Neodiprion lecontei: one gene and its partner. The protein of the gene in region 1 interacts with the protein of each later gene in a pairwise test. Links are inferred from orthologs where the notes say so. Each region holds a gene or a part of one and is shown in the gene's direction. Other genes may lie near its edges.

Evidence for each region. The genes of interacting proteins can lie anywhere in the genome.
Region 2: the proteins of protein BCCIP homolog (region 1) and 60S ribosomal protein L23 interact in binary tests that used the Homo sapiens proteins (3 or more experiments, as listed by UniProt). The link is inferred for Neodiprion lecontei from reciprocal best matches to the Homo sapiens genes BCCIP and RPL23.

The regions. Positions count from the first base shown.
Region 1 is NC_060260.1:13,309,023-13,316,765, forward strand, and holds the start of protein BCCIP homolog, read left to right. Parts: upstream 1-1,711; 5' UTR 1,712-1,756; intron 1,757-2,962; 5' UTR 2,963-3,040; coding exon 3,041-3,169; intron 3,170-6,541; coding exon 6,542-6,808; intron 6,809-7,090; coding exon 7,091-7,636; 3' UTR 7,637-7,743. UniProt on the Homo sapiens protein: During interphase, required for microtubule organizing and anchoring activities. During mitosis, required for the organization and stabilization of the spindle pole.
Region 2 is NC_060264.1:31,957,518-31,961,136, forward strand, and holds 60S ribosomal protein L23, read left to right. Parts: upstream 1-1,739; 5' UTR 1,740-1,815; coding exon 1,816-1,828; intron 1,829-2,119; coding exon 2,120-2,203; intron 2,204-2,472; coding exon 2,473-2,601; intron 2,602-2,868; coding exon 2,869-3,065; 3' UTR 3,066-3,116; downstream 3,117-3,619. Other genes in the region: metaxin-2, read right to left, coding at 1-566, 915-960.

The DNA.
Region 1 (7,743 bases):
GAAAGTTCACTCTACGCATTTGCATATCCATCTATTTGTGAATTTTTTGAGCATTTGAAAAATATTTATTCATTGCATCATCTCCAGTCTGTCACTTTGCTCGGTAACATTTTGCTTGGATAAATTTTTTTTCCAAGGATTCGAAAAATAAAGGAATAAAATTACAGGAACTTAGGTAAAGACCCCTGCGTATAAATCTAATTCCATAGGCCAGTTACAGCAAAGGAAAGGCACAGGCAAGATGCAGCCTAATTGTCATTCTCACCCTAAATTGCATTCGAAATTTGAATAAAGTCATTTGTACACTCAGCAGAATCTAATTTAGTTCCCCCGCTGCAGACTACTCGTCTCTCACTACGCAAAGCGGTCATAAATCAACCAGTTGCTCACCCGCTAGAACGCCACAGTCTAGCACGCCCCTACGATGTCGGCAAATGGGTTAATTTCATTCAATTGTGGTGTGGAAAAATCCATAAAGACCACCACCCGCGGTGAACTGCGACTCGTGGTAACATAGGTATACTACATTCTTTAGTTTCGATATACTGGAAAATACTGCGGCGTTAGCTATGTAGATGAATGATTTCACACATTAGTTATATTACATATATATATAACGTATGCCTTGACAGTTTTATGAAGAAACTTCAATCTGTTTCTAACAGGCTCATTCGTAGTTTAATTTCACAACACAATCAAATTCCCGTTTATAAGCTCATCGGTTCGCACAATTTTTATTTGCAAAGAAAATTTTTTATTTCGGAAGGTATCCGGGTGTCGAGAATATTTCTGAAATTCCTTCGATTTGACAGGCAAGTGAGTAATTTCCATTAATATGATTAACGAACGAGATGCAATTAAGAGCGGTTTATGAAGTGGTTGATTGATCTAAAACCATGTATAGGTTCACACAGACACTTATTGGAAGGTTTTAAGCATTGTAAATAATGATAACTTATATATTCTTCGTTAATATACATATCATACAGATATCATAAAAAATGTAATACAAATTGACGTATTACTGAAAAAATACGTTTGGAAAGGTAGACAGAGGAGAAGAGGCCTAATGGAAACGTAGAAGCAATAAATAAATAACTGAAAAAAACAGTCCAAGGCAGGTGAGACAGCTATTTCTAAAGATATAATGTATCGCTAAACACCCAACAGCCAGAATTTAAAACATCCAATCTCTTTCTCTCTATGTATGTATGAGCATGATATCGTGTAGCACAGAAATTTATTTAAACATCCATCGAACATGTAGACACCAGACAGCCATCTCACCCCCCGCCTGCACACTCTCAGAATTTCACGAGTGTCAAACTTGGTATTATCACTTCCCAATACGAGATTATTATAGGTATGTGTATGTCCTCACTCGGATGCTTCAATTTTATTATTTAACATTACAAACATATAATATATATTATATTATATAAACATATTACGCAGAGAGATCGACGAAATCGGCAATATAAATATATTATGTATATATCAATTTTTAAAAATACATATTTTATAACCTATAATGCGACACTGCTCTTAGACCCGTGCGTGCTACGCTGTGGAGCAGCCTTACAGACTCCGGGAAATTCTAGAAAATAGAATTTCCTTCAGTCATGCGCGAGTAGCGTGCTTTTAATCGAATTCCACCCAGCACCAGCGGCAACAATAGGAACGCACGCTTGAGTTTCCCGAGCGACCACCAAACGCGCATAGAGCTTCTGCATGCAGAGTCACAATATATCCGTCGGTACAGTCTAAAATTTCGCCCGTAGCATGCATACGTATCACTATGTCGTCTTGTTCAAAGGAAAGCCTGGTTCCATTTCTCATAAAAAATACGTAACAATGCCTTCGTATGGACGGTTTCAGATAGCACAAATCATATACCTCGGTATAAATATACACTCGAATACACACCAAGGCTGAATCACGCGCCTGCGTTTATGTATGTAAGCTTCACGCGCATGGCTGCCTTTGAATTCCAAAAAGTAATCATGATAATAATAACAATAATATAAGGTGTTTGGTTATAATGCCTCATTACCTCTCTGTTCAAGCCACAAAAATATATGCATCGAGTCACATCTGCATGCCTGTTTTATAGCGAAAACATGTTGCATTGATCGTTACGATTCTTGTGTTATAATTTATACCATACCATTCGCACCATTTTATTTACGAATAAAAAATAACTCCGTGCTTAAGCCAGCAAGTTCGCTCAATTTGAATGGGGTCAGCGTTATTCTTACATGTATTCGTTTTTAACGGACAATCAAATACTTTTTTTGAATTTTGGATAACGTTCCAAAGGAGCTTAAAATTGCCGCGACGCGACTGAAACTTGACATATTTACAGGTCAGAGACATCGACCAGCGTTGTCAGTCCTAAAAAAATTTCTTTAAAATCAAAGAAATTAGAGAATGTTCAAAAAAAAAAAAAGTAAAGTTGTTTTCTTGTTAAGAAATATTGTCATTTAGGCCGGAATCTGACGAAATCTCAAGATTGATGACGAAATCTCTAAATATGGCCGCTGAAATCGAAACAACAGACTACAAATCAACCAATCGTGAGGTTCCTGAAAAAACATGCGACAATTAGTAGCTTCTGCAATATTTAAGTATTAAAAATAAGAACACATTATATAAGTAAAGGTTGTTAATATCTTTATACTTGAAATTCCGATTGTAGGATATATTTCTAGGAAAAATGTCCATGTTATAATGCAAAAAAATTAAATATATTATATATTCCTATATTTATTCAGGTTCAATCCCGTCAAACATCACTGTTGAAAATGAGAAATATGAAGAATTATTGTGGCGCCATTGAGACATCTGAAAAATTATTGTGATGCCATCTAAATAAGAAATCTAAAGAATTGTTTTGGCGCCATTGAAAAAAGTAATTGTCTGATAGGTTGGTAACACTGATATCGACCACATCGATTCGCAGGTGAATTGCGGGCCGAGAAGCGTGAAGCGCAAGCGCCGCATCCGTCGCCACGGTACAGCGATACGCAAGGACTACGCTATGGCTGCGCCAACAAAAAAACGTGAGATCCAGCCGAGGAACGAGAATATTGGCCACAATGGGGAAGAACACAGTTCGTCGGATGATCAGAGTGATTCCGAAAATGAGGACGCATCGGAGGCTGAGCAGGTTAGCGAGATTGCACATTTTTTACTCGTTATTGAGCAAACGAAGTGATCTAACCTCCACGAAGCACGTGGTCGGTTGCCACATCACTTGTCAAGAATTTTCAATAAATGACGAAAAGTTGAAACAGGCGACGACTGGTCATCTGCTCTGTTCGAAATTTAGAATCTACTCAACCAACCGTTTACACTGATTCAATTAAATGATCATATTGCAGTTTACAGTTTGCTACTTTGTATAACTTGCGAGTTGCGCGCATCCCATTCTCTGCAACACATGTACGTATTGACGGTTGCCGGTACCCAGGCGCTCACGGTTGAATTTTATTTGTAATAAATGTGAACTCAGAATTTTCACTCGTTTTAAGACCTTTAATGCGAGTTTAAAAAATGAAAATGAACCATTCAATAATTATGTATTTGTAATAACTGTATAATTAAAATGGTCCTATGAAATTCATTTTACTGGAAAATGTCATTTTCAAAGTAGAATTGGCAATTTGAACGGTTTGAGACAAGTTTCACCCTTTGGCGATTACAATTTTTCAGAAAACAAATGAACTAACTGATAAAAAATTCGATCACATTCATACTTTTTTGCGCACTCCGGTATGTAGTGGATTATTTCCAACCAAACCTAGAGTTAAATCCTAATATAACTTCCAATGATATCTGTAAAACCCAGATTTCTTGGGATTGTCTGATAGGCATATTAAATAAATTAGCGATCAACAGCGATCACCTGGATCGAAAGCTATCATGTATTACTATGTAACAGACTATTATAGAATCTTGGTGATCGGTCAATTAAGTAAACGTATTTTTAGTTAACGTTTCGACCCGGATATGGGCCCTCCTCAGAACGATTTATTTATTTAACTGTCAAGAACAACAAAAAATTTTTTTTAAATAATAATACTAGAAGTACAATCAGACATTAAATATTGTAGATGTAATAGCCAAGACAATTAATTCATGGCTCACCACTAATATCACACCTCCCACCTCTAGTGTTAAAGATAGCTTTTCCTTAGTTGACACAATAAAAACATTGATTATCCCAGACAACAATACTTTAATATCGCTAGATGTAATATCACTTTTTACCAACGTTCCGATAGATCTTGCATTGCGCGTAGTAAACAACCGTTGGGCTTCTCTTGAAAATAAGATCCCAATTCCTCTTATTGAACTAGATAAAGCTTTAAAAATATGTTTTGATTCTGCAATATTCAAATTTAACAACGATACGTATGCACAACAATTCGGGTTGCCCATGGGATCTCCTCTCTCCCCAATCTTGTCAGACCTTGTCATGGAAGACTTGGAAACGTCTTGCATTAACAATCTTGATTTTGATTTACCGTTCTATTTTCGATATGTTGATGATATTCTTACTGCTGTTCCTAAAGAAAAAATAGATCACACTCTTAATACTTTTAACCGATATCATCCACGATTACAATTTACTATCGAAACAGAAGAAAATAACGCCATCAATTTCTTAGATGTATTGCTGATACACAACAACAGTAATATCAAAACAGATTGGTTCCACAAAAAAACCTGGTCTCAAAGATATCTGAATTTTAATTCTCACCACCCAATGTCCTACAAAATAGGCACCATCATTAACCTAGTTGACCGAGCCATCAAACTTTCTAGTACAGAGTTCCAGGAAAAAAACCTGTCGCTCATATACAATATACTAAGATGGAATGATTATCCTTATAATAATATTGACTCTGCTCCCGCAGACGATAACAATAGACCTGCTACTACATATATCCCCATCCCATATGTATCTGGTCTCTTTGAGTCACTGAACCGCCTATTTGCCAAACATAATGTCAAGTTTGTTGGAAAAAATTCAAAAGATTTACAATTAGTTTTTGATGCGGGAAAAGATAAGATCCCCATTGGCAAACGATCCAATGTTGTGTATAAAATACCTTGCAATGATTGCAACCAAGTTTATATAGGACAAACTGGCCGCCACCTTAACACCAGAATCAAAGAACATCAACGCAATGTACATGAGATTGAAGAACGTCACACGGCTCTAACAAAACATAGTATCAATAAACAACATACTTTTAACTACGACAATACAAACATCCTTTGTGAAGAACACAATCATTATAAAAGACTATTACTAGAAATGTGCAACATTGTAGGTCGCACCCATTCCGTTAATCTTAGACAAGATGTTGAACATTTAAGTAATATTTACAAACCTCTAATCTCCGCCCACACAAAAAATATTGTTTAACCTTAACTAGATACAAACAAATTTTTTTCACAAAATATTGTTTGTTTTTCTGTATAATTGTTTATATTAGGTTCACCTTCACTCTGGATCATATTTGTTTCTCCCATCAGTCGTTATTCACCTGTTGACCCAATCGGTTCAACCAACAATAATTTTTGGTTAGACATGTGGAACATAGTCATAAAGAGCCTACCTCCACTTCTTGGACACTTGCAAATTAATTTTACTGCTAAAAAGACTTTCTTTAAAAACCTTTTAACACAATGACATACTGACTGTGAAGAAACATAGTTCTTTAATCTTTTTAATTAATGACTTCCAACTATTAACTCCTACATGTAAAATAACTAAAAGATTGACATTGACTACCGTCACTCAAAGAACATTGTCTCCACTAATTGTAAATTGTGAATTCGACTACATCTTAGTCCACTTACTTATAAAAAAAGGTAAATAACACTTAAAGCCATTCTTTTTTCAATTAATCAAAATGTTCTTACTAACCAATAATATATGATAGCCCTAAGAGTATTACATCTACAATATTTAATGTCTGATTGTACTTCTAGTATTATTATTTAAAAAAAATTTTTTGTTGTTCTTGACAGTTAAATAAATAAATCGTTCTGAGGAGGGCCCATAACCGGGTCGAAACGTTAACTAAAAATACGTTTACTTAATTGACCGATCACCAAGATTCTATAATAGATTATATACGAGGTCGAGAATTCTTATTCATCACTATGTAACAGAGAGGCTTGCATCATTATGTACATTTTATAAGAATTGTATAGTAACGGAAGAATCGTGTTATTTTGTATTAATTTCCACCCCTACTTCGTCAACCATTAATGAATAGGTTACAGTTATTGTTTATCAATCAACAGTGTTGGAAATCAATGTATCTGCGATTAGAATTTCAGTATTCGATAAAGTTTGAATTTGAACTCTCTGTACAAGGAACGTACAGCTCTGTGCTATTAAATAAGGAAACATGTTTTTATGACTAGATGTAACATATTTGCCGTAATGAGTCTAAATGTACGATGGTTATCATATCATTATAAATTTGACCAAAAATCACGAAAAATATTCCACTTTTAGGGAATGGAAATCCAGGTAGATTTTGAGGGACGTAATCCGCAAGATCCTGACTTCAATGGCATTAAAATACTGCTGCAGCAATTATTCCTCAAAGCCCACCTCGACCTCAGCGGGCTCACAGACTTAATTATTTCTCAAAATTACGTGGGATCAGTCGTTAAGCAATCATCCAATGACACGGAGGATTCAGACGAGGACGAGAACGAGGACCCAAACAACGTTTTCGGAATCACTACAGTCGTCAACATATCCGACAGACAGGTAGATGTATGACTGGATTATATTTCTTCACGCATTCAAATATAATTAACTTTTCAGCCTCGACAGACTTAAATCTATTGACATAATAACTATTCCCTGAATTACGTGTACAGCATATTGTTTTCTTTGCTACGCACGTGAAGGAAGAAAAAAAATCAAATCATAGGAAATTGAAAAAATTATAATTTGTGAAAGCTCACAAGAATTCTAAAACAAAAAATGATTTTCTAAATGATCTGTGCAGATTCTGTATGGGCAGATATAGATTAATTTTGAAATTGTTTTCAGAACCAGCCATGCGTGAAACAATTGAGAGATTTACTAAAGCAGCTTGCAGAAGAGCATGCAACCGACGCTACCAACGCCCTGATTAGAAATGTACTGGAAAACGACGCAGCACCATTGGGTCTGTTGATCAATGAAAGATTCATCAATATTCCCGCACAGATATCAGTGCCGCTGTTTGAAAATTTGGTTTCGGAAATTGATAGGGCAGCAAAAAAGAAAATGCCATTCAAATTTTCCTACTTCATACTAATATGTAAGGTGTACGAAATCCAGAATCCTAAAAAGGATCCACAAACGAAGAACAAGAATAACGCACCTCATGTTGACATACTCTGGAGTAATCGTGAGGAGGAGATATTCGCCGAAGAAGCAGACTGCAGCTTTGAATTTTCCGTTGAAAATGAATCCGATAGTGGATTAGAAGGGACCTGGACTGAAAGTGATAACGAAATGAAGCCATATCGAAAAGTTTTACTTTTTGAATCTTCAAAACTCCAGAGTATCATTGACAAAATCAAACTTCACGTTGCGGGAGCTAGTAGTTAAGACTGGACCGAAAGTTTTTAACTCTAATGGACGAAAAGTACTCCTTAACGAGCCTTCTGGCTGCAATTCGTATTCGAGACATGGAAAAAACGTTTGCTTGGAATTAA
Region 2 (3,619 bases), on another chromosome or scaffold:
GTAAGTTTTTCCTTCAAGCCTTTCGGCAAGTGCTGTGCAGCAGTTTTTGACCTCACCGAATACCTCGTCAAGACTTTTATTGTACCAGCCCAAGACATTCAGTTTCTTTGTAATCTGATTTTGCTTTTGCCAGTTAAGAAGATGATTGAGAGGCCAAGGATAGACACTGCCGTGCCTGGGCTTGGTGACTGAAATCAAGGTGGCCTGATCTACCCAGCAAACATACTGTTCAGCATTAACTAGCACATTATTAACAAGCGATATGTAGGCTCGCATGTCAGCCTTATCAGTTGCCCCAAGCTCTCCAGAAAGACTAGAACCCTTGCTGCTGATGAAAGACACGATCGGGTCGAACTCCGATACAAGGAAAGCCCCACATTGAATAAAAGGGACTCTTCCTGAGGGAGACATGTACTCCGCATTGCTTCTCGGTTCAATTTGGAACTCCAGACCGCACATTTTTAAGTACGCTTGGACCGCCAGGCAGTTTGCATTGTCAGGGAGCAGAATTTGCTCGACCTCATATGGCTGATACAATTTTATCGGCTGCGGCCAAGGCTCTTGAGCTAAGAGTAAATAGTCGGAGAGCAAAATTCATAGATAATTTCTGAGGGGTTCAAACAGGATTACATAAGGTTATGTTAGGTTACGGTTAGGTCAGTTTCTGTTACCAAGGCTAGGTTAGGTTGCAACGGGGAATTGATATACTGGATTTGAGTAAAGTTTGACTAGGTTTGATTACATATACGTCATATTTTACAAGAGTTAAGGTTCGTCGTGTTAAATACAGATTCTGCCACGATAAAGTGGCAACGTTGTTCTGAAAGATAACCTGAGTCAAGTTAGGTTAGGTTAGGGTAGAGTCGAAGCACGCGTAAGATCTCAAGAGGTTACGATTAGTGTCTGAAATTTACCTCCTAACTCCATCGCTATCGTATCTGAGAGTAGAACGTCTGGCATTATGACAATTATTTTGACGGCGATGAACTTACTCCGTTTATTAATTTAGTCAACTAAGTAAAAGCGGGCTTCAAACTGCAGAAGAGACGTGAGTCTGCGGCAGGTCGAGCTATCGAGTTACTGAATCGAGCGGTCGAAGTATTCGTTAGATGTGGGCATTTTTGAAGTTCTACCGGAAGGTGATAATGCAGTTTGTTTACTAAAATTACCGTGAATATCCAGATATTTTTCACCGCAGATAGCCATGCACCCCTGCGTCGATGCTAGAGAGTCATCCTGCTATAATGAAAAATATGTTCTGTAATCGAAAAGTCGGGATAGGACCAAGCTGACGTTCGATAACCTCTTCGCAATCCACGGCGGAGACAAATGTCTGTATAACATGCTCCCCGAGCAGAGGGTCCTTTGTTTTCCTAACCAGTGTTTCGTAAACTTTTGAAAACATCTTTATGAATTGTTGCGAATTGAGGATTTATTCTGAAAACAGTCGATTTAGAGAAAATTTATATACGCACACCGCACACTAATCGATCACAGCGCTATTTCAAAAATTAGATATGTCAGAACGACCGCTGCGGATCAAATTAAGTACTCGAGAATCATTCCACGAAAATTTTCAATAAGCTTAACCCAGTCCTCTAATTATCAAGTAAAGGTGATAGAATAAACCTCAATGATTTTTCAGCCCCTTATGTATCCACAATCTTCTGATCCACGAGTGTTGGGGACATCGCGTTTGTACGAATTTTGACCAGCTGGTATTCAGCTGCGTGTAAATGATGCGCGTCAAGAGTTGGATCAGGGGTCTGCAGTACAGATCGAGCGCCCCAGACTTCCTCTTTCAAACGAAGCAAGATGTCGAAACGAGGTGAGCCCGAGTTTGGGCCGAAATAAATCCGCAATAATCGGCCGTTTCCGAGCGAGACGTACCGCGTTTGAGTGTTTAGCGAACGTGGAAGATACGTGTGCGTCATGCGAAACGTATACTTAACGTTATTTGTGCCTTACGATGAAATAAGATGCGTGATAAATACTTGCCGCCTGTCGACAACACGATACGACGCGACGTACGTCTTGCTCCGGAACACGGGAATAACCTAACAAACGGAGACCACGCGATCCTCATGGATGTTTATCAACTTTAATATTTCTGTTTAAGGACGTGGTGGTTCCGCTGGAGCTAAATTCAGGATATCTCTGGGTCTACCTGTTGGCGCAGTTATCAATTGTGCTGACAACACGGGTGAGTTAGTCCAAATCGTAAGTCAATACTATGCGTGTCCACGTCCTTATTCCAACCATTCGTCCATATCATCATTCTTCATTCTTCACATTCTTCTTTTTCCGATATGTTCGTACTTGATGAAATTATACGCAGTTCATCCTGTTCGTGATTCACCATTCACATTGATCTCTGCGCGTACACGATGAGATGCACATATTAAAATTTGCTGCGCTCATGCCACTATCTGTTGTGTCTCTTGTTTAATCTAATCGATATATCTTTTTAAGGGGCCAAGAATTTGTATGTAATCGCAGTACAAGGAGTGAAGGGACGTCTCAACAGACTGCCTGCTGCAGGGTCCGGTGACATGATTGTTGCCACTGTTAAGAAGGGAAAGCCCGAACTCAGAAAGAAAGGTTCGTTTAACTCGATACTGGCTTAATATGTTCATCTGACAATGTTCAGTTGTTTTCGTTATCATGAAAGTCGACTGCAAAGCCATGCTGTTGCCCAATTCAACGCATGTTCCAAGTTCTACAAGTGTCTGTTTTAGGTTAGGTGAACACTTTTCATTTACGTTTAGTCGTGCTGTGTCTTTGTATACATGGATACTATTGGCTTAAAAGATTTGCGTGAAAATTTGACTTTATGATGGAGTAAAAAATAATTTTTTTTTATTGCAGTTATGCTTGCCGTGGTGATCCGCCAGCGTAAGCCTTTCCGGAGGAAGGATGGGGTATTCATATACTTCGAAGACAACGCAGGTGTTATTGTGAATAATAAAGGTGAAATGAAAGGCTCAGCCATCACTGGCCCAGTAGCTAAAGAGTGCGCCGATTTGTGGCCAAGAATCGCCTCCAATGCCAGCAGCATCGCCTAAAATAACACCTTGTATACCGTTGACTCAATAAATACCAATTTGGACTCGTCATCGGTACTTTACTTATTTACTGTTTAATACGTTTGTATAATGTCACGAATAGTAAAATGATTGTCATGCTATCAGGTGCATTCTGTTTAGATTAAGATTTAGTCTATTTTTCTGAAAACAAGTTTGTCGTTAGAACATGACTACATTGCAAGATTTTTCCATTAAAATTCATGAGATCTAGTATTTCACCATCCTTACTCAAGATCTTGAACTGCCGTACAAGTAAGTATTTTTTGAAAATACATCATTGGCATGAATTCAGAATTACACTTAGTGTTGATCTATCGTAAACTTCCCCTATAGCAGGAGTGGGCAATTGGCGCACTTTATCCTGACAACGACTCTATTACGGGGGAACAGTCGAATGACGAGAACCACCTGCGTGATCGGTTCGATCCCAACAAAAACAATTGTAGAATCGCCGAAATCGCGAACTACACTAAAAAATGGGATCGCACTGGGAACGCCAGGAGTTGCCCACTTCTGTCTCATAGTTAAAAAAA